Linked DNA regions of Pelodiscus sinensis. The main gene of each other region encodes a partner of the protein of the gene in region 4 in a complex. Links are inferred from orthologs where the notes say so. Each region holds a gene or a part of one and is shown on either strand. Other genes may lie near its edges. The genes, in order: FGFR1, S100B, FGFR2 and FGF2.

What was found.
Region 1: the proteins of FGF2 (region 4) and FGFR1 are in contact, whole or in part, in a crystal structure (PDB 1CVS), measured with the Homo sapiens proteins. The link is inferred for Pelodiscus sinensis from reciprocal best matches to the Homo sapiens genes FGF2 and FGFR1. Residues at the interface, in NP_001997.5 of Homo sapiens: His158, Phe159, Lys160, Lys163, Tyr166, Gly170, Phe173, Arg186, Lys188, Leu197, Gln198, Ala199, Glu200, Glu201, Arg202, Gly203, Val205, Ser206, Tyr215, Val230, Glu238, Leu240, Asn243, Asn244, Tyr245, Asn246, Leu282, Pro283, Met284; in NP_075598.2 of Homo sapiens: Glu162, Lys163, Leu165, His166, Ala167, Val168, Pro169, Ala170, Asp246, Val248, Arg250, Ser251, Pro252, Val279, Ser281, Asp282, Pro283, Gln284, Pro285, His286, Ile287, Ala314, Gly315, Val316, Thr319, Asp320, Glu324, Gly344, Asn345, Ser346.
Region 2: the proteins of FGF2 (region 4) and S100B are in contact, whole or in part, in an NMR structure (PDB 2M49), measured with the Homo sapiens proteins. The link is inferred for Pelodiscus sinensis from reciprocal best matches to the Homo sapiens genes FGF2 and S100B. Residues at the interface, in NP_001997.5 of Homo sapiens: Arg164, Tyr166, Cys167, Lys168, Asn169, Gly170, Gly171, Phe173, Arg186, Lys188, Asn243, Asn244, Tyr245, Arg262, Lys267, Gly275, Gln276, Lys277, Ala278, Leu282, Met284; in NP_006263.1 of Homo sapiens: Glu47, Ile48, Lys49, Glu50, Gln51, Glu52, Asp55, Lys56, Cys85, Phe88, Phe89, Glu90, His91, Glu92.
Region 3: the proteins of FGF2 (region 4) and FGFR2 are in contact, whole or in part, in a crystal structure (PDB 1II4), measured with the Homo sapiens proteins. The link is inferred for Pelodiscus sinensis from reciprocal best matches to the Homo sapiens genes FGF2 and FGFR2. Residues at the interface, in NP_001997.5 of Homo sapiens: Phe154, Pro155, Pro156, Gly157, His158, Phe159, Lys160, Lys163, Tyr166, Lys168, Gly170, Gly171, Phe173, Arg186, Leu197, Gln198, Ala199, Glu200, Glu201, Arg202, Gly203, Val205, Ser206, Tyr215, Val230, Phe235, Glu238, Leu240, Asn243, Asn244; in NP_000132.3 of Homo sapiens: Glu163, Lys164, Leu166, His167, Ala168, Val169, Pro170, Ala171, Asn173, Asp247, Val249, Glu250, Arg251, Pro253, Ile257, Lys279, Val280, Tyr281, Ser282, Asp283, Ala284, Gln285, Pro286, His287, Ile288, Ala315, Gly316, Val317, Thr319, Thr320.

The regions. Positions count from the first base shown.
Region 1 is NC_134738.1:15,608,399-15,615,826, forward strand, and holds the start of FGFR1 (fibroblast growth factor receptor 1), read right to left. Parts: upstream 3,011-7,428; 5' UTR 2,878-3,010; intron 1-2,877. UniProt on the Homo sapiens protein: Tyrosine-protein kinase that acts as a cell-surface receptor for fibroblast growth factors and plays an essential role in the regulation of embryonic development, cell proliferation, differentiation and migration.
Region 2 is NC_134717.1:65,124,388-65,131,877, forward strand, and holds the start of S100B (protein S100-B), read right to left. Parts: upstream 3,013-7,490; 5' UTR 2,305-3,012; intron 1-2,304. UniProt on the Homo sapiens protein: Small zinc- and- and calcium-binding protein that is highly expressed in astrocytes and constitutes one of the most abundant soluble proteins in brain.
Region 3 is NC_134718.1:57,071,101-57,078,509, reverse strand, and holds the start of FGFR2 (fibroblast growth factor receptor 2), read right to left. Parts: upstream 3,001-7,409; 5' UTR 2,878-3,000; intron 1-2,877. UniProt on the Homo sapiens protein: Tyrosine-protein kinase that acts as a cell-surface receptor for fibroblast growth factors and plays an essential role in the regulation of cell proliferation, differentiation, migration and apoptosis, and in the regulation of embryonic development.
Region 4 is NC_134715.1:37,761,972-37,769,612, reverse strand, and holds the start of FGF2 (fibroblast growth factor 2), read right to left. Parts: upstream 3,012-7,641; 5' UTR 2,855-3,011; coding exon 2,203-2,854; intron 2,029-2,202; exon of another isoform or gene 1,891-2,028; intron 1-1,890. UniProt on the Homo sapiens protein: Acts as a ligand for FGFR1, FGFR2, FGFR3 and FGFR4. Also acts as an integrin ligand which is required for FGF2 signaling. Binds to integrin ITGAV:ITGB3.

The DNA.
Region 1 (7,428 bases), on a different chromosome or scaffold from region 4:
GATTGTGTTTACAAGACAGTCCAGGTAACCATTAAGGCTAGAAACTTACTTAGAAACCCCCCAAAGCAGATAGTCCCATGTGTGCCGGGCTGGCAGAAAACCATCCCCTATCAGGAACGGCGCTCCTTGGCAGCATTCGCTCCTTGGCTTTTTCCACAATTATTCACTCAGCTCCAGAAACGTTCCAGCGTCTAACAAGGTGCATTTCAAAAATGCCAAGCCGTTTGTCACAGCAAAGGCATGCACAGCCCTTTCGCCTGGGGCCAGTTCTCTGCAGGAAGGGCCCATCTCCACCAGGCACTTTTACACCCACACGGCCACTCGGGTGCATGGGGCTCACCCCTCAATTTGCACCTGCGTCTCTCCACCAGGGCTCTTTGTACACACACCCCACACTCTTGTGGACACAAACTCCTGGAGGGGCTGGAATCCCTTGTAGCGTGGCGGTGCTGAGCGGAGCAGAGCGCCTGTGCGTACAGAAACCGTTGCAAGCCAGGCTGCCGCAGCTAGCTCCAGCAGGTAGACTTCATTTGGTACATTTTTAGCAGCACATTTTAAAATGAAACACCGCCCATTTGGAGCAGACAGCCTCGCAGCAGCACTATCAAGGGAACCTCCAGGAATTCCTTGCAGCTTTCTTTCAAGAGACTCACTGTGCTTGGTTGTCCACCCTTGGGCACTTACGGCCCATTAAATAAGGCCAGGCCTCAGGAAAGCAAGTCCCCACAAGCTCAGCCCCCAAGTGCAGCTGCAGGCAGCCTGAACGAGGAGTTTACTGCTAGCCGTTTCTCACTCTCGGCCAAGGCTAAAGAGAGGGCCAGATTTTGCTTCCTGGAGCTCAGTGGTGTTGCAGGAGGGAGGACAGAGCACCACTGACATGTTTTAGACTTGCTAACAAACCCCCTAACATATGGGACAGTATTTACAGAAGGATCCCCTTAACGAGACCCTCCAGCTGGAGCCTCCCCATACGACCAATACAGGCTCCAAAAAACTTCCGCTGCAGCAGGGAGAAATATGTAAATAAGATATTAGTCGGCATGAGAAACCCAGGCAGGCACCTGCATCCCAGCACACTGCATGACTGCACAAATCAGGACCCATCTGGGATTCCAAACCATTAGCAGGAACTGGGAAACCGTAACTCCAGGCATCTGAAGAAGTGGGCGGTGCCCACGAAAGCTCATGATCCCAGCTCCATGTTTTGTTAGTCTAGAAAGCGCTACCAGACCATTTGTTGTTTTTTTCTGTAACAGACTAACTCTGCTACCCCCTGCAGCCGGGAAACCACACGGCCATGTTATGGGGATGCTTTTCTATCAGCCCCAAATCTAGAAGAGGAAAGCGAGGAGGGGGAGCTTTCGGCTAGCTCGTCTCAGATGAGCCAGGTATTAGGAACCCCCCATTCCTCGGACCTTCAGCTCTGCAGAGTGCATCTCCCGAGGGAGAGCGCAAGGAAACGCCGAGTGCGTCTCGAGAAAGCGCTATTCCATTACAGAGACAAAATCAACAGGCTGGAAACCCGAGGAATGTTTCCAGCGCAGAAGAGATTTCCCTCCCCCGCTAAACTTTGTACCTTAAGAAGCGTTTTTGGCTCAGGAAGCCCGCGGCTGTGAACGCGCAGGCCTCGTTTTATGGGTTAAGGCAGCGCTCGTAGGGTCTCCGGTGTTGGGCTTCCGAGAGGAAACAGCAAATCGCAGCGAGACGAACCCTGACACGGCCCCTCCGCACTGCTCACATCCCAGCGTTTCCATGGGAGAAGGGGAAAAGCAACGCCCGACGGTGAGGCAGCGTCCTCGGGGGAGCAGCCCATCCAAGCCAGGCCGAGGGGAACTGGTGGCAAGGCTCCGACTCTGCCCACGCTATCCCGGGAGTGTGCTAGTCAGCCAGGAATGTCCTAGCCCCTGGCCCTAGGCTCCCTGAATCAGCCAGGCCCGCCCAGCCCGGCGCAATAATCAATACGATCAACAGTCACCAGGTGCCAACTAGGCAGAAAGTTCACACAAGGTCAAGGAGCCCCCCCCCCCGAAACCAGCCAGCCGCCTGCACCTCAGGGCTCCTGCCCAGCCCCACAGCCGGGACTCCCAAGCCACCTTCCCCCAGGGCCTGGCGGAAACCCCCCTGCTGCGCCTCCAGTGCCAAGGGAGAACTGAAAAGGGTGGGAAATGCCCAGTCCTGCCCACGCCCTCCGGGGAGCCGGCTCGGGCAGGGCAGGGCAGGCAGGCTCCAGGACCCGGGCCTTTGGCCTGACCCCCGTGGCCTTAGGGCCCCCTCCCCAGGCCTGACTGCAGCGGGCGGCTCCCCGTGGGGAGGGCTAAGCGCTGGCGGCCGGGCCAGACCAGGCATCGCACGGGGGGTCCTGCCAGCTCACATCCGCCCTCGGCCGGGCTGGGGCGCCCTGCGCGGCACGGCGGGGCTGGAGGAGGGGGCCGGACACACCGGCGCGGGGCCCGATCCCGCAGGCGGCGGTGGGACGCGACTGTTCCCCGCATCGGGCCCCGCGCCAGGGGCGCTGCGAGCTCTGCCCAGCCCCGCGCCGGACGCCCCGGGCACCTGGCCCCAGCCTCGGCCGGGGAAGCTGCGGCTGCTTTCCCGGGGCCCAGGCAGGCGGGGGCGGGAGCCAGGGGTCGCATTCCAGCCTCCCCCGCCCCCCGGACACTGAACCTCCCGCGGTGAGGGGGCGGGCCGGGCTCCGGCTGCCCAGGGTGCTCCCCGCAGCATTTCACGCCCCCCCTCCAGGCTCACTCCGCTGCCCCGCCCCCCGGAGGCGCCCCCCCCCAAAGTTTGGGGAAAGTTTTCTCGCAGCCGCGATGGCGCCTCCCGGGCCAGGGGGCGGGTGGGAGGCCTCGTGGGGCGCCCCCCGCCCCGGGTACTCACCGCTTCGGCGGGGTCCAGTGGCGGAGCCGCCGCCCCAGGCGGGGCCGGTCCCGCTCGGGGCCCCCGGAGCTGCCGCGAAGCCGCGATCCCCGGCGGCTGGGAACAAAAGGCGCCGAGCCGGGGCCCAGGCGCGCAGCCCTGCCGAGCTGCCCCGGCTCACCGCCCCGGCTCCATCGCGCCGCGGGGCCCCGAGCGCGGGAGATCCGGGCAGGGGCTCGGGCCCCGGGGGAGACACGAGGGGCCCCGACCCCCCGGGAGCTGGGAGCCCAGGGGCCCGGGCGCGCTGCGGTGGCTGCGGGGCGCGCTGCGGGTCGGCTCCGTGCGCTTGGCTGCTGCCCGGTCCCCAGTGCGCGCTGCGGAGCAGGGCTGCGTCCCTCCCTCCTGCCCGCCCAGCCCCTCCTCCGCCCCCCGCCGCCGCCTGCCTTCTCCCCGGCTCCTCCTCCTCCGCTGCCCGCCAGCGACCTGCCCGTCCCGTGGGGGAAGGACTCTCTCGCCGCGCCCGGCCCCGGCTTCTCGGCACAGAGCGGAGCTGGGAGGCTGCTCCGAGCGCTGGCGGGATGGGCGCGCTCCGAAATGCAGCTGCATGGAGCTTGGGGCTGCGGGGCTCCAAGCGGGAAAGTCTCCCCCCCCCCGCCCGCAGAGCTTTGCCTTGGCCCCCCCGGTTTGCAATGTATTTGCCCACAAAACAAACCCACCACCGAGGGGGGGGGTTCTGACCCTGGTGATTTGTGAGGGTTATGGCCGCTCTCAGAGTCCCCAGGATCCGGGCCCGTTTGATTAGGTTAGACAGGTTGGACCTCCCTGGTCCGGCCCGGGTCTGACGGGGATTTCCTTGGACCAGGGTTGGTTCCCTCCCGCTGCTGGCCTCCCAGCCTGCTGCCCCTCCCGGCTGCTGGCAGGGGGATCTCCAGATGCCACTGGTGGAAATCCCTTGCTGTGGGGATCTGAGCTGGGAATCCCCAGTTGCTGGCCCTGCTGGGGACCCCCAGGGAGGGCTGGAGCTCTCTGGTGCAGCAATATCTGAGTCCTGCGGGACTACGGATGTGGCTGAACCGGAGAGTCCCAGACTTGAGAGACGGAACCTGTAGTCCGATAGGAATTAAGGCCAGTGTTTGCCCCGCCGAGTTCACAGTCTAAGGCCCCATCTTGCAATGGACTGGAGGGAGGCAGCCAGGGCTCGGCCAGCGTGGGCTGCCAGACACACAGTCACGGACGTGCAACAAATAAACGAACCCAGCAACAGCCATGCAGCGTGTCGGAAGAGCACAGTGTTGCCAACTCTTGCCGCATGATAATCTCCTGATACTTGTGTGATTGTTAAAGCCCAGCTGCTATGCTCAAGAGATCAATCTCAGATTTCTTTCTTTCTGTCTATTTTAGGTAAGTTTTCTAGCCCTTGTGGTTGGAGGATAAAGTTTGAAAAAGGCTCAGAGAAGGCCAAACGGATTTTCCTTTTGCAGTCTCTGGATTTCCAAGCCAGTTCATGATTATTTAGGCCTTGACGCATGATTTTTGAGCCCTGACGGATGATACTGACGGATACCCTCCAACACACACGCTCCCTACCCCTCTGGTTGTTAATTCGTGCAAACTGCCTGAAGCTTTCCGGAGTGAAATAACAAACAGTAACAAAAGGAGAGAGAAATCCGAGGCACAGGCTCAGGGAAAATCGGATTTTATTGTGGCTACTTTGTTTTCCAGTAGAAAGTCCCTCTGAATTAATATCCCGACCCTGTCATGGACTAGCTGAGTTCCTCTTTCCTACGTTTGATACTTCCAGCTCACAAACATCTTGGTTTGATTATGTGCCGCCTAAGAAAGACCAGGAGTGATCAGACCCTTATGCGGTGAGGGCACTGCATGGATCTGACCACAGGATCAGGCCCGAAATCCTCAAGTTTCAGAGTTTGCTTTCATGTGCAAGAGCTGCCTGATGGCTTCCCGTCAGATTTTTTTTGCCTTTTGCTCTTGATAGACAAAAACATGCCAAACTCACTGCTATTATCTGGGGGTTCTGTTGGCTTGAACAATCTATTCGAGGTTTGTCCTCTTGGCATATTTGTATCCATCAAAAGCTATAGGCAAATGTTTTTCTTAGTTACTGCATAGATAGGCAAATGTAGTCCCCTAGTGCATACGTGGCCTGGCTTGTGGACGTGATGAGCACCCACAGTGCCCTCTGAAAATCCAACCCATATCTTCCCGCTCTGATGGGCTTTGACAGGATTTGTCAGACCCAAAGCATCTGGACCACAAACCACAGAGCAATCCAAAACCAGCAGACAGCTGACTTCACTTCCCCCATCTGTCTCAGGTGAACCCTGCTGCGAGGGCCAGCCGAGAAACAGGGTGCAAGTTCTAAGCTGGGAACCCTTTGGGAACATCTCTGCAGGCAAAGGCAGCAATCCAACTTGGGGATTTCTGGAGGCCTCTGACACCAGCTCGGCCAGGAGGTAGCTGCAGGGGGAGTGGAATGCTCCGTCTATTGTCATGCAAATTAATCTGCCCCAAACCCTACTTGGCTTCAAAATTCCTAGGTCCAGTAGCAAGCAGCTTCTGGCGGGGTGCTCCCAGGCGAATGCAGGTTTGATTTAAGGGGCCTAGCGAGGGAGGGAGTCTGGGTGAGTCTCCAGAGAGGTCCGGCCCGGAATGAAGACATCTCCTGGCTCACTGTGGAAGACAATGTGTAAATGATTAAGTTATGAAGTGAAACAAGACAGGCTGAATTAGATCCATCAGTCACCACGGCGATATCTGAACCAAATGCCAGGCATCCGTCTTTACAACGAGAGCAGCCCCTTACCAGCACAGGCAGTGGCTCCGGTTGGGATGCCAGTGGGTTTTGCCAGGGTGATCGATAGATATTGGTGGATGCGAGGGAAGCGACCTTTCCTCTAGGACTCTCCTATCCCTGCGGGGTGTTGCTACGGATCACGTCCGTTCAGGGCATGGGGTTGTGCAGCTCTCGCTAGCTCAGTCATCAGATATGGGCTGGAGGCAGGAATCAAGGTGCAAAGTTCTCTGCTCCATGTTCTGCAGGAGAACAGATTGGATGGTCACCGTGATCTCCAGGCGTTACATTCGGTGGCTCCATGACTAGGTTATGGTGGGGAGCTGTGACATACCGATCTCCGATCTCCCTGGAGCTGTGGTTCGGCCTCGCCGGCTTGCCGCCTTTCCCAGAGCACCCCGCTACCTCTCTGCTCAGGGTTCCTCGCTGGTCTCAGGGCCACACACCCAGGCGCTGAGCTGGGTCAAAACACCGGTGGGCAGGAGCCGTTTGTTGTTTGTTTTGCTTTCAAAGCTGCATTTTTTCTACCCTGATTTTGTCTGTTTCCGTTTGGCGGCAGACGGGCTCTTTACAGCCAAGGGAGGAGAGTGCCCGGAGCTTGGCTCTGCTACCAGGATCCCAAGGGACGAGAGCGCCAGAGCTCAGTTCGGTGCGTCCACACTGCGGGAAGGAAGCCCAGGCATGGAATCTCAGGTTCTGGGACCCTCCCCCGCACTGGACTGCAGAACAGCCAAACAGCCCCCTTGCAATTTGAGCCCACCGAGTCAGCTGCCGCAGGCCATGCCTGGGTGTTTTCCTGCCAGCCCTCCCCCAGCCTCTGTCCCTTCTGGCAGGAGCCAGGTTCAAGAGCTCTCCCGGGGCTGCTGACAAGGGCCATGGCGGAGCTGGAGTGCCGGGAAAACTCCTCTTGGTCTCCGGGGCCTGCCCACCCCGGGGCCTGCTCTGGAGAGAGGCAGGCAGGAGCGCAGGCCCCCTCCCCCGGTCGGATGCTCTGACTTGCATTTGACTCTTCTTGCAGCAGCAGCCCCAGTGGCCTGCCCAGTCCCAGGTCCTTTGTCCCGTCCTCACGCCCGGACATGGCTCTGCCTGCTTTGCTCTCAGCCTTGTCCCCTCCCTGCCAGGGGAGGCAGTGGGGGAGGGCTCGCACCTCCCGGCTATTGTTCCTCCAGAGGGGTTTCTGCCTGCCTGGATTAACAAGGCAGCAGCCTGAGGGGGGCTGGTGGGGAAATTCGGGGGGTTCAGTTACAGGCTTTGGGAACGTGCCGACAACGGGAACAAGAGTCCGACCGCCTGGCACCTGGTGGAGTGGAGTCCCTCACCCAGGGTGCGTCTGCACCGCGCTGCTGCTGGAAACAGGCGAGGCCACTGGAGCTACACACACGACGTCTCCTACTTCGACGGTAGCTCAAAATAGCTTCTTTTGAAATCTGGCGCTGGCTGCGCAGCTCTCTGCCGACCGCCCGCGGCTCCGAAGCGCCGCTCAGAAGCTGCAGAATGGCTACCCGGGGATCCCTGCGGTGTCCGGCACTAGCGCTGCAGCGCCCACGTAGCCCCACAGCCCCCAGCTCAAAAGACAGGAGTTGCACTGAGCTGTTACCGTCTGGCGGGCTGGGGGGACGTGAGCTGGGCTCCCTGGGGACAGGGGAGCAGCTGTCCTGATTTCGTAGGGGCAGTCCTGGTGTTTGGGGCTTTGTCTCCTGCCTCCTCCGCCCCCGCCCCATGGCTGTCTGGGCACCTGACCCGGGGAGCGCGAGCTCAGT
Region 2 (7,490 bases), on a different chromosome or scaffold from region 4:
AGAGGCACAGGTGCTCGATGGCCCAGAGTCAGAAGGGGGACCCTATAGAACCTCATGCAAAGCCTGGAGTGGGCAACAGCTTTTTTTATTCAAACACAGCTGCTAAAACTATCTTCTGCTTCTTCAGAAAAAGAACTGAATCCCCTGCTTAGTGCTAGTACTCACCACCCAGAGACGCATACTGGGTAGGGTTGCCAGATGGTTGAAACAAAAATACCAAACACTTGCTCCTCTCCCTTCCCCCCCACCCCCAAAAAAAAACACCAGGAAAAAATTCTGTTGAAGGAAAACAAAAAGAGGGGTAGGAAAAAAAAGGAGTCCAAGACTTATTAATCTCTCTCTCTATCTCTCTCTCTATATATATAAAATAAAACAGCATTAAGACAGCTTGTCCTTTAAGAGTGAGTGCAGAGCTAGGAACAGGGGAGGGGTTGAGCACTAAGACCCAGGGGAATCATTGCTTCCCCTTGGTCTTTTTGCTGGCAGCCATTTTGTGCCGGCAGTCTTGCGAAACCAGGTAAACATGGGGCTGGGAGAGGCTGGGTGCTGAGTGTTTGTAGGGTTGCCAGATGCCCGGCTGTGGCGGTGCGTCGGGGATCCCCCGCCTCCTGCACCCCCGTAGTGGCACGAACAGACTCCACCAGCCAGTAGACTAGAGGGAGTTTATTGATTCTCTAGGATACAGCACAGCAAAGATGTAATCCGGATACAGGGCAGGCCTAGGATGCCTCAGCCCCCCTTGAGATGGGGGAGACTGGGTCCCTAGATCCCAGCCTGTTGTTTAGGCTGCTTCCTCCATGATACCAGACAGAAACTAAAAACATCCCTTCCAGCCCTGCCCCCCAGCCAGGGGCTGGCCTCCCCTCCTTCCTTCGTTTCTCTCCCTGGGAGGTAACTGGTCGGACAGGTTGGGAGCCCCTTGCATAATGACTCATCCCCTGTCCTGCTGGGCTGTGCTACAAACAGCTGCCAGCGGAGGTCACCCAGAGCCCAAGCCTAGCAACCAGCAAGATACCAACACTACGTCACACCGGAATTTTCACTGCCTGGCCAGGAAAAAAAATCAGAAAATACCGGACATCTTGGGGGTCTGGTATTTTCTGAATTTTCTTTACCGGACAAGAGGTGAAAATACTGGACTGTCCGGGTGAATACTGGACAACTGGCAACCCTAATACTGGGATATGACAGTGGACAACTAGTCTGCATATGCACAGACGCCCACGGAATGCAGAACAGGCGCATTATCCAATTTGTCTTTGTGCGGATATCTGAGGTCGAACCCCAGCGGGCTTCAGGCCAGCTTGCTGAGTCACTTGGCAGTTGCTGTGTTTGCAATAACCAACCATCAAATAATGTTTTGTATAACACGTGGTGCTATGCAAAAGTCCCTCTAAATAGTCATTCCAGCGCAGGGCTGTTTCTTGTAAGAGTGCCTATCGCGTGGATGCCACTGGAGAATGACACCTGCCAGAGCAAACTTGCTGCAATGCACCAAAGTGGGTGTTGTACTGTAAACATGGCAGCTTGGGTGGGACATCAGGGAAATACCAGCAACCAAGCACAAACCCCACACATGACCTTCCCCTTCTTGCTATTGCTGGATATGCAAAGGGGAGTGGAAGTTGACAAACACAGATTACATGCAGAACAAAGCTGATTTTCACGGGCTTCAGTTGGCTTTTTGTGCCTAGCAAAGCTGCATCTTGAAAATGAGCTGAGTCTAAATCAAGGTAGTATTGATCCTGAAAGTCTGCGATGCTGCTCTCTCAGTGCTGCTGAATCAATATTTGCGTAATTTTACAGGGACTTGATTGCATTCTTAATCAGTGCAATGGAGTAAGAAAAGTCACATGTAAAACCCCTCCATTCATCTGAGGAATGGTTTTGACCCTTAAAAACTTATGCCCAAATAACTCTGGACTTCATTGTTTGCACAGCTACAGACTCACGCTGCTAACCCTCTGAGATTTACTCCCCACCCCACCCTGTGCTGCTGCCTCTGTAAAGCTCCCCACAGCAGGATTTCAGGCTCTTACCTCAGTTTTTTCCAACTCTGCCCAACACAAATCAAATCCATGCAACAGGCCCTGGTGCCTCCCCCCACTGCCCCGCACAGTCCTGCCCTCATCCAACAGGTGTCCCCAGCCAGGTACTCACTAGGGGACTGGGGGCCCCCATTCCAGCCCCACCCCACTCCCTGTAGGAGTCTTGCTTTAGCTGTTGGCGCTGCCGCTGGCTTTTTACAGAGGCCATGGTGCCCTGCAGCTACCACCCTCCCCCGGCCCCTGCTGTCAAACCCACCTCATGGGAGCTGTGACGTAGTGGGGGGCTGTTGACTCTGGTGGCCCTGGGCCCACTCTGGTTGGGCTGTCTCTGGTCGCTGTGGGCTGTGAGTGACCCTTCCTGGCCTGTGTCTGTAGCACTGCCCAGCGGGGGGTCGCCCTGAGGAATCGCACGTCACGTAGTCCGTGGCCCAACCGGGTCTCACCTGTCCAGGGACGGGGTCTGAACAAAGGAAGGGTGTGGCTCGGCTGGGAAAACAGGAAGAGCGGAGACTAAGCTGAGTACTGGGGGCTGGGGGGGGCTGGACCCCTACCCCAAGGGGACTGAGGCTGCCTGGCCCCAACTCCTGTAGCCACATCATGTCTGTCCTGTGTCCTGGAGAAGCAATAAACCCTCCTGTTCTACTGGCTGGCGGAGTCACATCTTGCTGCGGACCGGGGTGCAGGACTGGGGGGTACCTGACACACCACCACAGGAGGCAGCTAATTAGTTGTGGGGGAGGGGCCAAGTCCCTTTCCTATCGCGCCCCCCATCCTGTGACAGTCCCCTGCCCTGTGCAGCCCCAGCTCATTTGCTTTCCACCCCCATTCTCCTGGCAGTTGCGGGGGACACGGTGTCTCGACCCCCACTCAGCGTAGCTGGGCCCTGTGCTAATGGTGTGGCAGACCGGGGGCTGGTAAGAGAGAGGCTTTGGCCGGGGGCAAGCGGCTTGGCTCCCCGGCTTGTGTCCCACCCCCCTCAGTGCCAAGGAGACACAGAGCACAGAGGGCCAGGACAGGGCAGCATGGGGCAGGCGCCTGCTGCCAGTGTGGTGACGCGTGCATGGGGGGGGGCGGCGACCCCTGCTGCCACCTGCACCACGCCCCGTGATCCCCAGGTCCCTTCCGACCATAGGACAGCTGGGGGGGGGCACTGAGGGGTCCCCAAAAGCGTGGGGCCTACAGGCAGCTGCCCCATTTCATCCTATGGCCAGGCCGGCTCAGAGGGCAGGTCCCTTGCTAGCTCGGGGCCTGTGCGTAAACAGGGAAGCTGTTGCCCTCTCTGCTGTCAGAATCTGTCCTGGGGAGCGAAGCAGGCCATTCCGAAGGAGAAGCCAGGAGAGGGGGCAGAGAAGCAAAAATGGTTTGTGTGTGTGTGAGGAAATGAAGGGAAGCGGGCGAGAGAAGTGGCACGGGGACAGGAAAGGAGCAAGCGTATTTCAGAGGGATGGCTCACGAATGTGTTCCAGAGGGATGTTCGCAGCCGCTCCGCTATTCTGCAAGGGAAGGGAAGACAAATGAGAAATGCAGGGGGCAAAGATGACACAGTCAAACATTTGGCAGGGGGACATGTCACCGTGTGGTTAATTGGAAACAGCGGCGAGGTGAAAGTGGGTGAGTTCCCCCTCCATTTGAATAGGTAACCTCCCCTACCCCTGACAGAGGGAATACCAGACTAGATGGCCCTTAGAGAATTCCTGCGTTCCCCAGAGCAGAGACCTGGAGTTCATGCCTAATTCCAGAGTGACAATTAAATCCAGAGCTGTCCAAGTTCTCATGTGGCCGCACTGGCCTGAGTCTAAGAGAATTTAATCTGAGCTCAAGACCCCATTCTACTCGCCCCAGGTACATTGTCAGAGACAGGCCCTGACAAGTTTACAGTTTAAATAGATGAGACACAGGGTAAAAAAATCTGTTCTGTCCCCAGATACAGATTTTAATCTATTTTATAAAGGTTCGTATCCTGCCCTCATTCCTGTAGGACCGGAGCATCTTCCAAAGCACAGTCAGCCATGAGACTAATATCTGCCATGTGGGATGGGGAACCTGATTTGGGGAGAGTAGTTAACGGCTACGTCTAGACTGGCATGATTTTCTGCAAATGCTTTTAACGGAAAAGTTTTCCGTTAAAAGCATTTGTGGAAAAGAGCATCGAGATTGGCATAGACGCTTTTCCGCAAAAGCACTTTTTGCAGAAAAGCGGCTGTGCCAATCTAGACACGCTTTTGCGCAAAAAAGCCCCGACTGCCATTTTCGCGATTGGGGCTTTTTTGCGCAAAACAAATCTGAGCTGTCTATACTGGCCCTTTTGCGCAAAAGGACTTTTTCCCGAATGGGAGCGGCATAGTATTTCCGCAAGAAGCACTGATTTCAGACAGTAGGAAGTCAGTGTTCTTGCGGAAATTCAAGCGGCCAGTCTAGACACAGCCAATGGGTGTGTCTAGACTGGCAAGATTTTGTGCAAAAGCACTTGCTTTTGCGCAAAAATTTGCCACCTGTCTACACTGGTCACAAGAATTTGCGCAAGAGCACTGACATTCTAATGTAAGAATTCAGTGCTTCTTGCGCAAATACTTTGACACTCCTGCTCAGGGATAAGCCCTCTTGCACAAGAATACTTGTGCAAGAGGGCCAGTGTACACAAGCATCTTAGTTTTTTGCGCAAGAAAGCCCGATGGCTAAAATGGCCATCGGAGCTTTCTTGCACAAAAGCGCGTCTATACTGGGCATGGATGCTTTTGCGCAAAAGCATCCGTGCCAATCTAGACGCTCTTTTGTGGAAATACTTTTAACGGAAAAACTTTTCCGTTAAAAGCATTTCTGCAAAATCATGCCAGTCTAGACGCAGCCAATAAGTCTAGGCATTCTTTTAATAGCAGCTGAGATAACGCAGTCTGGTCCACCAATTGATCTTGTATCCAGTAATGGAATTGTAAAATGTAGTGCCATCTATGATCTGGAAGCTCTGGCCAGGATATCTGCATGCTTTTAGTAAGTGGGATTTTGATAGCCAACAGCATTTGGCAGGAAGCCACTGCCTGATTTTTCAAGGATATTTATATTCACTTAAGTCTAGGATGCAAGTGAAGGAAAGAGCAGCCAGCAGTGAAAAACATAACTATATATTTTCCATGGTCATAGCTAGTCAATCTTAGTAGATACTTTCTCTCTTCCACAGGCCAGGCCATGCATCAATGCACAAGGTTTAAAGTCCTAAACAGGTTTCCTGCTTTGTCCTTTCTTCCATTATATTGGTTGCCCTCGTGTAGACCTTTCGGCTACGTCGAGATTGCATCCCTTTTTCTGCACGGAGCTTTGCCGGAAAAAAGCACCAGTCTAGACGCGGATCTTTCGGAAAATAAAGCCTTTTCTGAAAGATCCCTTATCTCTCTTAAAATAAGGGATCTAGATGTAGCCTTCAGGTAAGCTAAGTCTTCCTCAGAAGGGAAGAGGGAAGGGGTTTCCCAGCAGCTGATGTGAGGGCTGTTTGCAGCTGAGCCAGTGGGGGATGCTCAGTTGCAGATGGTTCCTGGCACCTTCACAATTAATTCACATCTCTAGTGCTGGGGGCCCATTATTCCAAGGGCTCCGAGCTGGGCTGGATGGCATAGTGGTGTAAGGCATGGCTTGTCTACACTAGCACTCCTGCTGTGGCTCTGAGCTAAGCTAATGGGAGTGAGGAAAGCAGCAATGTAGACAAGGCCTTCAGGATCACATGGGATTAGTTTGGGTCACCACTGCCAATAAGCCAACCAGTACAGAGATCTCAACTGAAAGTGGGCAGCAGTATTAGCTGTCTCCCCTTACGCAACTCACTGGTCTTCTGCCCCATTGCCCTTCCAAGAAGCACGACAGCAGCGCTTGGCTGAGAAGTTCCATCTCGGAGCGCGGGCAGCCTGGCTCAGGAAAAGTGGTGCCCAGGATTATCCCGCAGAAAGAAGAGGCTCTGAAGGGTGGCTAGTTTGGATGCTGGCAACTGGGCTGCGCTTGTCAGTCCTGAGTGTGCAGCATGCACAGCCAAGCGCAGAGCTGAAGGTGTTCTGGCCCTGAAAGCACATTTGTCGGGAGGCGTCGCTGTTACCACGGGGTAATGCTCTGACAGCTTGAATCAATCCTTGGGTTGGATTTCCAGGCCTGGCCCAGCTCTAATGGTCTCAGTGGGGGCTGGAGCAGACCCATCTCACTAATGAACATTGCTGCGCAATTGGCAATTCCAGCTCAAGGACAGACCAGACGGAAAGGGCCGGGGGTGTGCGCAGAAACGCTGCGTACTGCCAGACTGCTACACTCGCCTTGGCCAGCACCATGACTTCATCGCTCTCAGAGTTACATACCTAATAGCTTCTTAAAGGGACAGGGCTATTTTAAAATCCACAGCCAATGTTTTCAAGTGATCTCAAGTTTGGGGTGCTCAGGATTTGCGTGGCACAGAAATGAACACCTTCAGCTCTGCCCTTGGCTGTGCATGCTGCACACTCAGCTATTCCCCAACCCTTACAATACTTTCAGCAATACTGAATTTAGACTGTACTGAAGAGTATCTGGCCCCAAATGGTTAAAGGACCAGGGAGCAACGCATAAAATTGTGCTGTCTCAAATATTTCACTCCTCCATTTGCACCCCACCCTCTTCTTGAGGGAAATACAAAGAGGCCCTTTTATAGCTGCTGCGGATGAGAAAGCCAATTTATTTCTTTGTCCCTTATAAGCATATGCGCACCAGGCTCTGCCTGACAATGGGGTAGTGACTGGCAGGTCTATTCTGCTGTGGGAGAACAGAAACAAGATCTGGAGATCTTTGGGGGAGCAGGTGCCACTTGCTTCAGTCCCCAGGGCTCGCTTGCAAACACAGCTGCACGGAAAAACACTTTCTAGGGCAGAAAGCTGCCTCCGACACTAATTCCTTGGTGTGTTCCTCCCCTTTTCACTGCTGAGCTGATCCTGGACCTTACCAAAGTAGGGAAACAAACTTGGATTTCTCAGCCGACTCCCAAGTGAAGCAACTAGAATATTAAAGACCCTCATTGCTGCTGGGCTGGCCTGATCCAAAGCCCATGGAAATTATTGGAAAGACTCACATTTCCTTCCTCACTGGGACTGTGATCCAAAGCCCAGTGACCTAAGCACAAAAGCTCCATCGGGTGTACAGGGCAGGGAGAAGCTTTTGTTACATAGAAAAGGCCGGTGGATGAGGGAAGAATTACTGTCCCATTTCTGGGAAAGTTTCACAAGCAACCATGTAAAAAGCCTGCAGTGCTGGAGAAACACTTGTTGGAGTTCTGCCTCAGGGCACACCTGTTCCCTAGAGCCCATTCATGCACCTGGGGTCTCCCCTTCCTTCTCATGGAAGGTGGGGATCTGGGGTTTTGCTTCCCCCCACAGCAGCATTTCCACTCCTACCTCCTGTGGGCAGCTCTGTGGGACAATGCACATTAGCTCTGCAGAC
Region 3 (7,409 bases), on a different chromosome or scaffold from region 4:
GGAAAGTGAGCAGAATGAAGTTCTGGAGTATATTACACTATGCAATTTCATCTATGGTATTCCTTGGCAAACTACCACCTGGCAAGATACCATAAAGGCACCCAACTTTACATGCAAAAGATGGAACCAAAGCATTGCAAAAACCCTCTGGAAAAGCTTGTATTGAATGTCTTCTAAGCTAAGGAAATTTAATTTCATAGCAAGTTTCTTGGGGGAAATAGGTAGGGAACGAAGATCGTCATAGATGACAATTTGGAAGTGTCATGATTATGAGAGAGGGCTAGCAGCCGGGGGACTAATGGGTTAACCACACTTAGCCAGGTGGAGTGGCCAATAGAAAAGTAGGTAGGACTTTCAACTGGGACAAAGGAATTTTGTTTTTTCCTCCTTTGCCTCTGGGGGGTTTGCTCTGCAGCTACTGAGAGAGACAAGATTGTCTCTCTCTCCCTCCAAGAAAAGACCCTTTCTTCACTTTCTGTTAGTAGGGTAAAGTTTAGATAAATCCATTAGGTTTTATTGTTTTCTCTTTAGGGATGAGGTCTGATGTCTGTGCACACTTCAAGAAATGGTTGGTTTTTCTCTGTAACTAAGTTCTAAGCCCATGGAGTTTCTCCATGAGTATATCATGTTACTTTTCCATCTAGGCATTAAGCTTTCAACAGGAATATTGTTGTGATGATAAATGTTCTCTTTTTATAGAATCATAGAATACTAGGACTGATAGGGACCTCTAGGGGTCATCAAGTCCAGTCCCCTGCCCTCATGGCAGGACCCAGTACTGTCTAGACCATCCCTGATAGACATTTATCTAACCTACTCTTAAATATCTCCAGAGATGGAGATTCCACAACCTCCCTGGGCAATTTATTCCAGTGTTTGACTACCCTGATAGTTAGGAACATTTTTCTAATGTCCAACCTGAACCTCCCTTGCTGCAGTTTAAGCCCATTGCTTCTTGTTCTATCCTCAGAGGCTAAGATGAACACGTTTTCTTCCTCCTCCTTATGACACCCTTTTAGATACCTGAAAACGGCTATCATGTCCCCCTCAATCTTCTCTTTTCTAAAATAAACAAACCCAATTTTTTCAGCCTTCCTTCATAGGTCATGTTCTCTAGACCTTTAATCATTCTTGTTGCTCTTCTCTGGACCCTCTCCAATTTCTCCATATCTTTCTTGAAATGCGGTGCCCAGAACTGGACACAATACTTCAAGGCCTAACTAGTGCAGAGTAGAGCAGAAGAATGACTTCTCGTGCCTTGCTCACAACACACCTGTTAATGCATCCCAGAATCATGTTTCCTTTTTTTGCAACAGCATCACACTGCTGACTCATATGCAACTTGTGGTCCAAGCTGAATTATTAACCTGGAATTGGTTAATCGTGTGCCCTGATTTTTACTTTAGGGGTGAGATTTCCCAAATGATCTTTCCCTTGATTGCTTTATTTATATTTGGGTGGTGGCAGCGGAAGTTTTATTCCCAAAATTTAGGGTTTTAAGATTTTGGGGGGAAGTTTTGTACCAAAGCCTGGTAGATAAGGTTTTGGGGTACACTTGCAGGCCCCCACTTCTGCATTTATCATGCCAGAGTGGGGAAGGAGCCATGACAGGAACACTTATTTTATTTTTCATCTCAAATACTAATATTTTTACATTTACTATACGAAGGGGGATTCATTAAACCAGAGGGTCTCAAACTTCATTAGACACACCCCCTCTTCTGACAATAAAAATTTCTACATGACCCAGGAGGAGAGACCAAAGTCTGAGTCTTCCTGAGTACCAGTGCCCTGGGGTGCGGGGCCCTGCAATCTGAGTCCCAATACACAGAACTGAAACCCTCAAACATTGGCCTTTGGGCCTTGGTTATGAGCGACGAAGCACTATGGCAGAGGATAATTCAGTATAACATATAAAACATTATTTCATAGATTTTCTTAGGTTCATAAGACTGGCCCCAGGTCTTTTGACAGGTCAACTAAGTCCAGTCCCCGCACTCACAACAGGACTATTCTAGACACTCACTACAGCAATGGAGAGGTGGACTCACTACAGCAATGGGAGAACTTCTCCTGAGAGGCAGTAGCTAAGTCAACAGAAGAATTCTTCCATTTATCTAGCACTGTCTACACAGGAGGTTAGGTTGTATTTTTTCATCCTCCTGAGAGACATAGCTATGTCAATAGTGATAGAGATGTAGCCGTGTTAGTCTGGTGTAGCTGAAACAAAATACAGGACTATGTAGCACTTTAAAGACTAACAAGATGGTTTATTAGATGATAATCATCTAATAAACCATCTTGTCAGTCTTTAAAGTGCTACATAGTCCTGTATTTTGTTATAGCTATGTCAATGAATGATTCAAGTATTGATCAGCCCTTATTCCCATTTGACAGACCAGGAAACAGACACCAGAGTGGTAACTTTTCTGAGGCCATCCAGCAAACTGGTGACAGTGTCAGGACTAGAACATGGTAGTTCCTTGCTCCCAGTACTGTGTTCAAACTAGCCTTTGTTCTAAGATCCTTCCCCCTGGAATTTACCCTGAAAACCACTTTCACGGAACTAACAAACCTATATATTCCCTGCGTCCCCCACTGTTCAGCAAATAAAACAAAATACAATATAAATAAATAAATATTAAATCAAAACATCCAGTCAAAACACAAATGCCACAATAGACTCAGCACAGCATGTACATGCAAAACTGCTGTTTTCACCAGAAGCTTAGGGTATAGAATTATGTATTATATGCAGTTAGGAATCTGCAGGAAAATGTGCTATGAAGATCCTTTTCCATGACTGTCCATGAACTACAATTCACAGAAGGTTTATGGTGTTGGACAAATACAACGTGAAAATAAACTCTACGATACCTGTTTGCTTTCTTCCATTGAATAGGCAAAGGCTAAAAGAATGCCAAACACTCCGTCAGGGAAAGCTTTGCTTCAATAGGTGTGTCTAGGTGTCTTGAACATGTTGCTGCTTGACAGGTCTCCCTTTTTGTGTGGGTGGTGTTCACATAAAAAGACAGACATGAAACTCAGAAATGATATCACAATGCAAAGTTAACTCATGGCATGCCTTAGGGCTGCACAGCACCAAGTAATACTCAGCAAAACAATGCTTGTCATTTCTTTCCTTTGGAAGTCATAGCATCAAATTTACAACAAAGTTCATTTAGCCATTAACCTGTGAAAAGCCCTCATTCTCGGGTGCATGGGGAGAAGTGAAAAATATTATTGGGATGGTTTTGGAAGGGTCAGACCTCCGGGTTTCTGAGAAGAAAGAGATAGTGAATTTTGAGGGCTAAGTCTAGATTAAAACAAGGCATTTGCTTCATTTCCAGCCATCCATGTAGATGTACTAGTTCAAAATCTTCATTCAGGCAAGGGGAGATAAGATTCATACCCAAAGAGCTCATTTCATGTTGAAGCCCTAATAAGCACAAATTGCACCTTTCCTTGTGTGTACTGAGGCAGTGGTTTTAAACTACAGGTTGCAGCTCAGGATTGAGTAGCAGAATGTCTGGCACTGGATCTCGTTGATGCAGTGTGGTCAGTGAGGGTACTAACGCACCCTTCCCACCTGTCCTGGCTCTGCAGACTGCACTGCCCCCCAGAAGTGGCCAACAGCAGGCCTGGCTCCTAGGTGAGAATGGGGGGCAAAAGAGTGCACAGGGCTTTGTGCATTGCTTCTGCCCTGAGCACTAGCTCCATGATCCCAATGGTTAGAACCTGCTACTGGCTGCTTCTGGGGTGCAACATAGTCTGTGGTGCCAGGACAGGCAGGAAACCTACTTGTACCGCTGCAGCACTGACTGGGGGCCACTCGAGATAAGCTCTTCCTGGCCTAGCCCTGCTGCACTCCCAAAACTGAAGCTCTCATCATCAGCCCACACTTTAGTCAAATTATGTTGGGTCACAGGCATCAATTTTCATCAGCTGGATCATGAGAAAAAAGTCTGAAACCCACCGTGCTAGAGATCACAAACTACTGATTGCTGGAACTGGGAATTAGCCCCAGCATGACCAGCACATTAGTGCTGTCATCCTTGTGTTTTAAACAAAGGAAAGGGGGACAAGGTAGTAAGCACACCTGTTGCCTGGAAGCTGCCTTTCGTTTCCATGCTCTGGTCTTTGTTAGCAAACAGTATAATAAGTAAATATGTTTTGGTTTTGTCTGAGGCAGCTACAACCTCAAGATTTCCACATCTTCTGGTCCATGTTATTTTCAATTTTAAAAAGCTGTATTTCTTGGCCTGGTATCACAGAGAGTGAAGACAGACATTTGTGGGGAAAATGAGACTGAATTCATGAAACCAAATGGCTGTGGGACTGGTAGAGATACCAGGTGAGATTACGTGTAAGTGGTGCAGCACAGAACTCACTGCTTCTGGGGAAAGGAGTGCAAATGGCTTTAAGCCATCGTGGACCCTCCTGTTCCTGGGCTGCTCCAGGGGAAAGAGGCCTCTCAAGTACTTTAGCAGCCCTCCAGGTCTGTGCTGTGGGCTGTAGAACTACCAAAATCTCAACAGCATTGTGTACCACTATTTTTAGGGGCTCTCTCAAGCAGCATTAGCACATGTATGTCTACCCAGGGAATGACACCTCCCAGCTGCTGCATAGACATGCCACTTCAACGCAGTCCAGGTCAACTATCAAACAACGTTACATTCCAAGTCATTACACCATTAAACAAGATTGTGGTCTCATTGCAGTTTCTAGTGGACAGATATCAAGATCGTAGGATGGCAAAATTAGGACAAATTGACACCTCTAATGGTCCTTTCTGTGGAATGCAAGGAGGGAATGAATAGGTATGGAAACTGAACTGCTACACTGTGCTATAGGATGGTTCTTCAGTCCCAGGTGAAACACATTTCTGCAGACACACAGGCAGTTTAACATGCAGCTGCATGTGCTGTACCTGTTCCACAAATAAACAGAGGTTTTTAGTTGTCAGACTGCCAGTCCAGCACTTTACATGATCTCTCTACTATAAATTTTAATGATACATCTAAAGGATTCCACTTTATTTAATAAGCAATATCTTTAACAGTTAGTTGTGCTTGATTTCTTTAAAAAAAACTAGGACAGCGAGAGTCAAAACAAAATTTGATCCAAAATGTATATTCCTTTATGGTGGGAAAGAACTATTTTTTAACTCTCAGTGGCTGACAGGAAGCACTTTCCTCTGCAGACAGGACAGTACTGCGGCTATCCAAGAGGCTACGGTGAGATCATCACTGTCTTTCACCACCAGTAATGTGGCAGTGCTCATTAGGTGAACTGAGTGTCTATCCTTTGTCCCAACACAGTACTTAATTAGGCACATGCTTAACTTTAAATATGGGAGTATCTCATTGGTTGCCACAACTCACATGGTTTAAATATAAACACAAAAAATGCAAAAAAAAAATCTACTTGTGACATTTCAGGATGAAAAGGCAAGGTAAGAAATGTTTCTAGTTCCCTAGAGTTATATAACAATTAAAGAAAAGGAAAAGCACCACTTTAAGGAAAGTAAAAGTAAAACAGTGAAAAATAAAAAAAATAAACCCAGGGACCCAAGAACTTAAACAAGGGTCCAGTTGAACACAAAATCCTGATAAGGACTCACTCATGTCTAAGCAAATGAATAAATATTCTTACCCATTCTCTCTCCTTATCTGGTAAGATGTTTCTAACAAAACCTGTTTTCAGAATAAAGATATTGGTGATGTTTTTATTGCCATCATAGTCCATCCAAGATGATGCATCTGGTTTGAGAGTCACAGAAATATTCTTGTTAAAAATGCTGCCAAAAAACCTAAATGAAAACAGCACACCCATTTTGCAGCATTATCAGGATTTTTTTCCAGGGGGTGTTTATATGGACTAAGATTCATTTAACAAGGCAAAAGTTGGAGCTTTCACATACTACATTATGTCTCTGAAGGTTCTCCTGACGAGGGTTAAGTCTTTATACCACTTCCAAGTGAAGCAGCCAAGAAAAAGAAGAAACAAATGCTGCTGCTGCTGCTACTACTACTGAGTACAGAGGCCTCCTTTTCAAGAAATGTGATTTATGGAATGAAGTTCCTGGCATGTCTGCCACAGGGTGTCACAATGTGTGTCTAAAATCCAAGGCTGAAATATGATCCTTATTCCTTCCAAAACACATTGTGGCTTCTAGCAAGTTCTTTTGAAAATTATAAGCAATCTGTTTCTCAGGAGGCTGTATTCTTTATGCCTCTTACATTATGAAGGGTGTATTCATTATCCCTTTTCTTTTTCAGACCTACTTAGAATATTTCTGGGGAATCAGAAGAGGTTTCTTTCTAATTTCATGTGAATTTAGTGGTTGTGAAAGCTGCTTTATAAAACCCTAGACACTTGTTCTTTTTTCTTTCTTGTTAACCAAAGATCTGATACAATTTGGACAGCAGCAGAGCAAATCACTCCACACTGCCATATCTACCTCTCGATACAGACCAAAACACCTCTCCTTGTCAAAGGGTAGCCTCTCAGCGGCCCATTCGTGTGCAGTAGATACTTGCCCACTGGGGAACTGGAGGGAGATCATCAAAGTCAGTTCACATAAGTTATCAAATGGTGACTAATAACTCAAAATCACTTCTGACCTTGAGCTGAATTTGAACTGTTCATTTAAAGAGCTTCAACACCTAATGCTCAATCTCTCTATTCTCTTTCATTTGGGGCAAAAGCTTTATATTAACCTTTTCCTAAATTACATTATGTATCTGCAATATATTGTGTGTTACATACTTGTCTCTCACTCTGCTACTTGCTGTGAAGCACTGATTCTTTCAGAAACTCAGATCTAAGAACCAGTGAAGTTAAACATCATCATTGCTATTTTCTTTGTGGAGCTGTAACACCAGTATCCCCTTCTGGCTCAGGGCTCTATTATACCTGATTCTCTACAAGCCATAGGACAGTCCTTGCCCTGTAGGGCTTTCATCCTTTCTTGGCTATTTTTTGTGGACAACATAACAGCAGTGTCCCCTGGATGTAGGACTGAAAGCCAATAGGGGTAGTAGCCTTATGAATTTGTTCAGGGAAGGTGTTGTGGAAGGAAATACAGAGACATTAATGGGACAAGAATAAATTTTTTCAAGTTGCTATGTGCTTCCACTATATTAGTATTAAAAAAAGCAGAATATGTGAGCGATAGTGTTTAAATTATAGAACCTGTATTGCCTTAGGCTGTCAGCATTCTCAGGCAACTCATTAATGAACTCGTATAAAAATTGCTTAAAAAAAAGAAACATACATAATTTTAGACAAACCAAGGAAAAGCTGAACATGTGCTTTCCATTGGCTTTAGTGGCTTTTTTGAGCAGGCCCCATTTGAACCACAAAGCATTTTTAAACCTCTTGCTATTCATCATTCTTGTCATTCA
Region 4 (7,641 bases):
GAGAGATATCTCTTCCCCTAGAACAATGTAGTAAGATGAGGGCCCGAAACAAACATTGACCTAAACAGCAATGGTAAAGACTTTGCTAATATAAAACAGAATTAAGCTGTGAGCATGAGGCAGGCCCTGCTCACAGAAGCTGGCAAGAACAGGGCTGATGTTACGGAAACACACATACCTGCTAAGCACAGGCTGTAAGCACATTCCAGAGGTCATGAAGGACACCTCATTGAGAAACATCTTGGTACCAACACACACCAAAGATAACAAGAACATACAAAACCAGATTTAGGACAGGGTCTAAACTGACAGCATGATAGATAGTGACAGAACTATGTACAAGGTAAGGGGTGGATCTAATGTCAGAAGACGGCAACCTGATATGTCAGGAGTGAAGTGTAATTTGTTTGCACCTGTGTCTAAAAGTGTACACTCAAAGAATTGTTGTCTAGTCAAGGGGGTAATATTAGATCAATAGTTTTGAGTGAGGTATTCCATTGTCACAAGCAATGTTCCCACTAAGCTTTTCCATCCATGTGTAGAATAAATTTTATGTGCACCAACACATGTGCAGATGTGCACCAGCAATAGAAATACATGCTGATGGCTCTAGGCATTGCGGGCGCTCTGCTAATCAGCTAAGAAGCATCTGTATCTCTCCTGAGTGTCCACACAAGTGCTCAGCTTACAGGCACTGGTCATGAGGTACATATGAGTAGTGGCTCTGGGGCAAGTCTATTCGTTGACAACTATTACTGTACTTTGCTTGGCAATAAACCTGGCCTGGTGCCTTCGATCCTTATCTGATTTTGTGATCTTTGGGGGCTCTCTCTAATAGACAGGAGAAACACACACACACACACACACACACACAAGTTAGAATATAAGAACAGCCATACTAGGTCGGACCAAAGGTCCATCTAGCCCGGTATCCTGTCTGCCGAGACTGGCCAATACCAGATCCCCTAGAAGGAGGGATCACAACAGGTAATCCTCCCGTGATCCCTCTCCTGTCACCCACCTCCAGAGAAACAGAAGCTAGGGACACCATTCCTACCCATCCTAACAGCCATTGATGGATCTAACCTCCATGAATCTATCTAGCTCTTTTTTGAGCCCTGTTGAAGTCGTAGTCTTCACCACATCCTCTGGCAAGGAGTTCCATAGGTTGACTGAGCTGAGTGAAGAAAAACTTCCTTTTGTTTTTGTTAAACCTGCTACCTATTAATCAGGGTTTAGCACTGACTGAGTAGAAAACCTGCTAGGAACCCATCAGTAATGCTTGACTGACAACAAATACTGTCTAGGAGTTGGTTCAAAGTATTGTACACTTGTTTTTACTGTCTTTTGATCCAAGTTTATATTAGGGATGTGAAAGTGTAACCATTTACATCAGTTAATGTGCAGGGTTACACACAGACCCTCACCCATGCTGTTGCCTCTATATGATTTTCAGTGGTTACACGATTACATAATTAGATGCATTAACATCCCTAGTTTATACATGAAATTGAAAACCTTTTACAAACAGGTGCCCCACTCTTTTGGTTGAGGAAGAGAGCTTATGTGCTTTAATAGAGCCATAACCGTTAGTAAAGCAGACAAAGTATTTACCATCTACACTGAGATCATCTCCTGTTAGGAACCGTAAACTTCACTCTCAATGAACTAGGCAAGTGGCGTTCTATCCATTTTGGAGACAGGGGAAAAGTCGGGTATAGGCAAGAACGTTTTCCTATGCTTGAATAGGATGGGGAGCATTCTAGTTAAACTCCTGGCTACAGTTTGCAGTTGAGGCACCCAGGCAGCTAACCAGCCTTAAAGCGTCACAATCCTGAATGAAGCTCCTCTGCACTGACTGCGAAGTCATGGTTATGACTGTCCCCAATCCTGATCACACACCGGGAGATTTTTCTCATGTGAAGAAGCCCAGAAAGGCTGAGTGATTAGCCCCCGATCGCACAGCAGGTGGGGGCCCAAAGCAGGAGAGCACTCAGGCCCTCGACCCCACCCACCGATGGCTCGAAGGTAACAGGCACAGGTTGGATGCCTGGGGCGCTGTCCTGCCCCCACTAAGCGGGACGCGAGCGCTTGCCATTGTTTTCAAGGGAGCCAGGAGTGCCCCCTCCGGGAGGAGTTGGGGCTCGGCGGGGCCTGCCCCGAAGCCGTGCCCAGGTGGGAGGGGAAGAGGCTGGTACTCACTGTGCGGGTCGCTCTTCTCTCGGACTCCGTCCACTCTGCCGTCCGGGTTGATGCGGAGGAAGAAGCCCCCGTTTTTGCAGTACAGTCGCTTGGGGTCCTTGAAGTGCCCCGGCGGGAAGGTGCCGCTGCCCCCGTCGTCGGGCAGCGTGGTGATGCTCCCCGCCGCCATCCGCCCCGCCGCGGGGTCCCGGGCCGGGGAGACCCCCTGGTGCCCGGCCCCCCTGCCGCGGCCGCCCAGCCTCGCCCCCTGCCGGCTTCGCCCTTCGCCGCGCCCGCCCAGCCTCGCCCCTGCCGGTGGGGGCCCGGCCCCTCCTCTCCGAGCCCGACGCCCCGGCCCTGCCGCCTCCGCGCGGGAAGCGGCTCCCGGCTGCCCGGCGGGGCTGAGGGTGCTGCGCAACGCCCGGGCGCCGCGAGCCCGTGGGCCGGCCAAGGTGCGGGAACGAGCGTCGCCCGGCTGTCGCGGCGGGCCAGAGGCAAGCGCCGCTCTCAGCCACTTGTTTGTGCGCCTCGGCTTCCCGCTGCTGCTCCGCCCCCTGCCCGGCGCTGGGGGCTCGCTGGGCCGCTCCGCTGCCTGGCCGGGGGGACTGGGAGCCTCCTGCTGCGCCTGCTGGAGAAACTGGCAGCCGAGCCGGAGGAGCGGTTCCCTCCCCATCCACCCTGCCCGGCCCTGCCTCCCCTGGCCGCACAGCCAGCCTCCTGTCTGCCTCCCCGCCCGCTCCCTCGCCTGGAGTGCGCAGGGAAAGTCCCCTTCCCGACCCTCTGCCGGCTGCAGGGCAACAGCATCCGCGCGCTTTCACAAACTGGTCGTAGACAGAGCGAGTCTGGGGCAGCTGGCGCCGCAGAAAGGAGCCAGCTGGGGCGGTGTCACTTTTTAGGCACTATACCAACCCTTTTTTCATTTGCTCTTCTGGAGGGGGGTTTGTAGACGACGGTTAAGGGGGGGTATTAAAGCTAGTGGGGGCGTGAGGAAGATCTTCATTTCACACCCTAGGACCTGCACTTCGGGGCAGGAATAAATTGAATCGTCTCTGCTCCAGTGCCAGGAAAACAGCAACTCCCACCTCCCAGTCTAAATTGCCTAGTAGGGATGTTAAATTTCAAACAATCAGCTAAACCAGTACTAAAGCAAAAGTCTATCAACTACTGGATTAGTAGATAAGGGGAGGGGAGTGCTTGTTATCCTAGTGATAGAAATGTAGCCGTGTTAGTCGGGGGTAGTTGAAGCAAAATGCAGGACAATGTAGCACTTTAAAGACTAACAAGATGGTTTATTAGATGATGAGCTTTCGTGGGCCAGACCCACTTCCTCAGATAAAGCTCATCATCTAATAAACCATCTTGTTAGTCTTTAAAGTGCTACATTGTCCTGCATTCTGTTATCCTAGCTGCCTCTTGTTCTTACTAGATTTAAAAGGCAAAAGAGCAGCCCCTTTCCTTCCACCGCCTGTTGACAGGCCTGTCAGTAACACACAAATGGATTATTTTTAAATCAAATTTTAAAGCAAGGCCCTCTAGACTCTCACATGGTAAATTAAAAAATTGACAGTATATACCTGGACTTGGAAAAATGTTTGTAAAATGGATTTGTTATCACTTGAATGGCTCTTTCACAGGTTCAATGTTCTGCTAATAGGTCAGGCAGGCTGTGTTATTTTTTAGTTAACTAGATCCTCTCCGGAAGAAGCAGAGCCACATAACAGGGATAGGAAGAGGCAGGTGGATCCACATTAAGAGCCAGGCTCCGTCTACCTACATTGTAGCCTTCTTCTGGAAAAGTTTATGCAAATGAAGCTTGTGTAGAATAGCGCCATGCTTCATTTCCATATTTAGTTAGCTGTTTTTGCGCAAGAGGCTTTTGCGCAAAAAGGAGCTGTGTAGACAGCTCCTTTTTGCGCAGAACCCCCCTCTTGCGCAAGCCGTTCTTCATTTTTTCCAGGGAAAAGGCTCCTGCGCAAGAGGGGGTTTTTGGACAGAAGGGTTTTTTGCACAGAAAGGAGCTAGGTAGACAGCTCCTTTCTGCGCAAAAGCCTATTGCGCAAAAAGGGCTGCTCGTTAATTATGCAAATGAAGCATGGCAATATTCCACTCCATGCTTCATTTGCATAAGCTTTTCTGGAAGAAGGCTACAGTGTAGACGTAGCCCACTGTTGCCCCAGATTTTCAAGTGTCCTACACAACTCTACAGTCTAGGTATGGGTAAAGATGACTCTGCTGAAAGACACAATATTTCCTCTTCACTGGTGTGTGCATATCCAAGAATAAAAAGGCCAAATATTTCTCCTTTTGGGAATCAAGAAAGAGCAAAAATGTATACAAGATTTACAAGTAATAGGAATCTTTCCTTTGTGCAAAGCTGAATGATGAAAACTGTATGGCGGAAGAAAAGGAACAGACAAGTAAATCTTAGAGGAGCATTAGTTATGACTTATTGTGTTAGTAGAAGTGGCCCAACCTTAGAGTGTTTGCTAAATCCTCTCCTCCACTATTTCTGAAGAGCACAGTAAACAGTCAGAAAACACAGAATAAAACACTCTTCCTGTTATCAGTCTGCACCAGCAGGAAATATTGCCAGAAGATGACCCACAATTTGTTCCACTTGATCCACAGATCTGGGCTGCCAGAAGGGATCCTCATAACACAATATTCCTCTCTGTCAGGACATTATAAACCAAGTTCATACCTCAAGGAAAAAACATTTGATAGCTATGCAAACATATATTCGTTACCTTTCCAGGAAAATGAGGGCTAAGGGACAATTGTTCTACCCCAATTCAACAAATAAGGCAGTCAGACAAATGGTTGACTACTTTCAACAAAAATACTATATTTATGTTTAAAAAGTGATTTTCTCCCACCCCAGCAATGCCAAACTACAAGCCTCTCCATCACTGCTACTCAATACCAAACAATGTCCAGTTTGATATTGTATTAAAATCTATTGCAAATATAGCTGCCTCTTGACAGTTATATAATTCTAGTAAGACGAATAGCCAAATCACTTACTTTAATGTGCACATAAATCAGTGTCATGCATTGCATTAGCTTTTCGTTTTAGACAAGGACCACCCCAAACCAAGCATCTAGAATTGGTGGTACAATTCCCATTGCTCCTCCATATTGGATTTATCTGTCAATGTGATAGAAGTAATTCTTTCTGTATTATCTAACTATACAACAATTGCCATGTGCTTGTATTTTAAATATTGCATGTATAAACATAACATCTACAATATTTGATTTTATAAATATCATAAGTACAACTGTTCAAGCCTGTGGGGCTGTGGCCAAGTCTTGTTGGTTTCTTGGAGAGGAGCGCAAAACATTTTCTCTATGTAATTTATACAACTGTCAACTTCTGTCCAAAGGCCAGAGTCTGGAGACAGCCAAAATGTGATTTTTCCCTAATACTGTCCAGTCAATGACCTCATGCCTGACCTGGAATAGTCACCCTACAAGGGTGTAAGAAGTTTCATCTTCTTGATTGCTTGGACCACCTAGTTCTTGTTCTCTTCCTAAGCAGAAACTATGTGCTATTACACAAGAGCTAGTATTAAGTTAATAGTTAAGATAAAATCGAAGTGAACAATTTGTTACTACAGCTGTGAACAAGAGGGTGTGTAGGAAGAAGTTGTCCACTCTGGCACTCTTAAACAGCCCTTTGATTACGGAACATGATCCTTTCAGTAAAGATCTCTGAAAAAGCTAACCTGGACATTGTTATTTTCATGACAATCCATTGCTAATTATAAAGATTTACTTATCTCACATGTATTGTGCAGCAAGGAACAAAAATCTATGAACCTTGGTTCCTTTTCCTTACACAAATTTGGAATTCCATATAAAGTTCCCATCACTAAGAGATAACAGCAGACTATCTAATTTGGTTGGTTTCTCCTTCCCTGATGAGACTTTAGAACACTTTTTCTTCCTATATCAACTCAACTAAGTCACTATTGTGACAAAAGTACATGTCACTGAAGCCAATGACGTCAGGGCATTCAATTACAGAAATAATTAATTAAACTAGGAAAAACAAAGCCTTATCAACAAGATGGCGGACAGGTACGAGGGAGTACCTTTCCTTTTTGAACCAGCCCAATTAACACATTCCAATAGCACATTTGTCTTGGCCTGGCGCATGGGGTGATAGAAAGTTCACTTTGGCCTACGTGCAAAGACAAAAAGCTGAAATGGTTTCTGTTATACAAGATGGCTTCTAGCTAAACATAAAATAGCTTCTACAGAGCTGAATTCGGGGACAATCCCCGGAATTTGCCCCTTTAGAGTATTACAGTTAGGCACAAAAAACATTAAGGTCACAAAACCCAGGCATTCAAAAGCTGTAAAATACCAGTGTTCCTGTTGCCTGGGTATAAACTTAATTTGGCCCCTTGTGTATTTGCATTATGACCACATATTTTTCTGTATTGTCTCCCTGCCTCTTTTTGTGCTCATGCTAGATGGTGCTTAAAGAGCGGCTATTCAATATTTTGTGTTCTCTCTGTTCAGTACATAACCCTTAGCCTTGTATACTGTGCACTACTCAAACCCTGCTCTAAGGACAGAAATTCAGTTGCCTTACATGTTTTACCCTGGTCTTCACAAAGACTAATGAATTTATTTTCACAAACTTCCCTGCAAGATGAAAGAGTATTTGCTCCAATTTACAGAGTGGGAATGGCGGCACAGAGAAATTATAGTCAAAAGCATCCATTGATCTTGGATGCCCAATTTGGTGGTCCTAGTACCAGAGTTTTCAGAGTACAAAGCATTCTGTAGTAACTTACATGCTCAAAGCACAGCCCCCATTGACTTTCAGCCATGAGCGCTCAGCATTTTGGTGCTGAAGACAGACGGTCGGGCAGGGTCGGCAACCTTTTCAAATCGAAGAGCCAAACTACATCAAAATTCAGAACAAGTGGTCGACAAGAGCTGTATAAGAATGCCCATTTGCAGGACTGAAATATACAACTTAATATTATTGATAATCAACATGGTGATTAATAATAGCATAAATGCAACTACTCAGACTTTAATAGGACTTCTGCTGCAGTATCTTTTCACACATTTCTTGAAGTTCACATCATGATGGGTCAAATCCAGCTTCGTGCATGCATTCAGGGTGTCGTCTGTCAATCTCATGGCCAGGGGCTGGAGATGTAGGGGTGTAGGAGTCTGGGTTGCTGTGTATGAGGGGCTCAGGGCAGGGACTGGGTTATGTGGAAAGTACACGAGGCAGGACAGTGTGTTGGGGAGGAGGGGAGAGGACAGTATGAGGAGCGGGGGCTGGATTACCTTACCTGGCTGAGCTGTTGCACTCAGGCAGCAGCGGCTGGACGAGAGGCGGGGCCAGGATTGCTGCAGCTGGATCATGGCCTCCCCTCCTATCTGTGTCACAGCAGAGGGGACAGTGCGCCACCAGCTCTTCCTGCGGCCAGA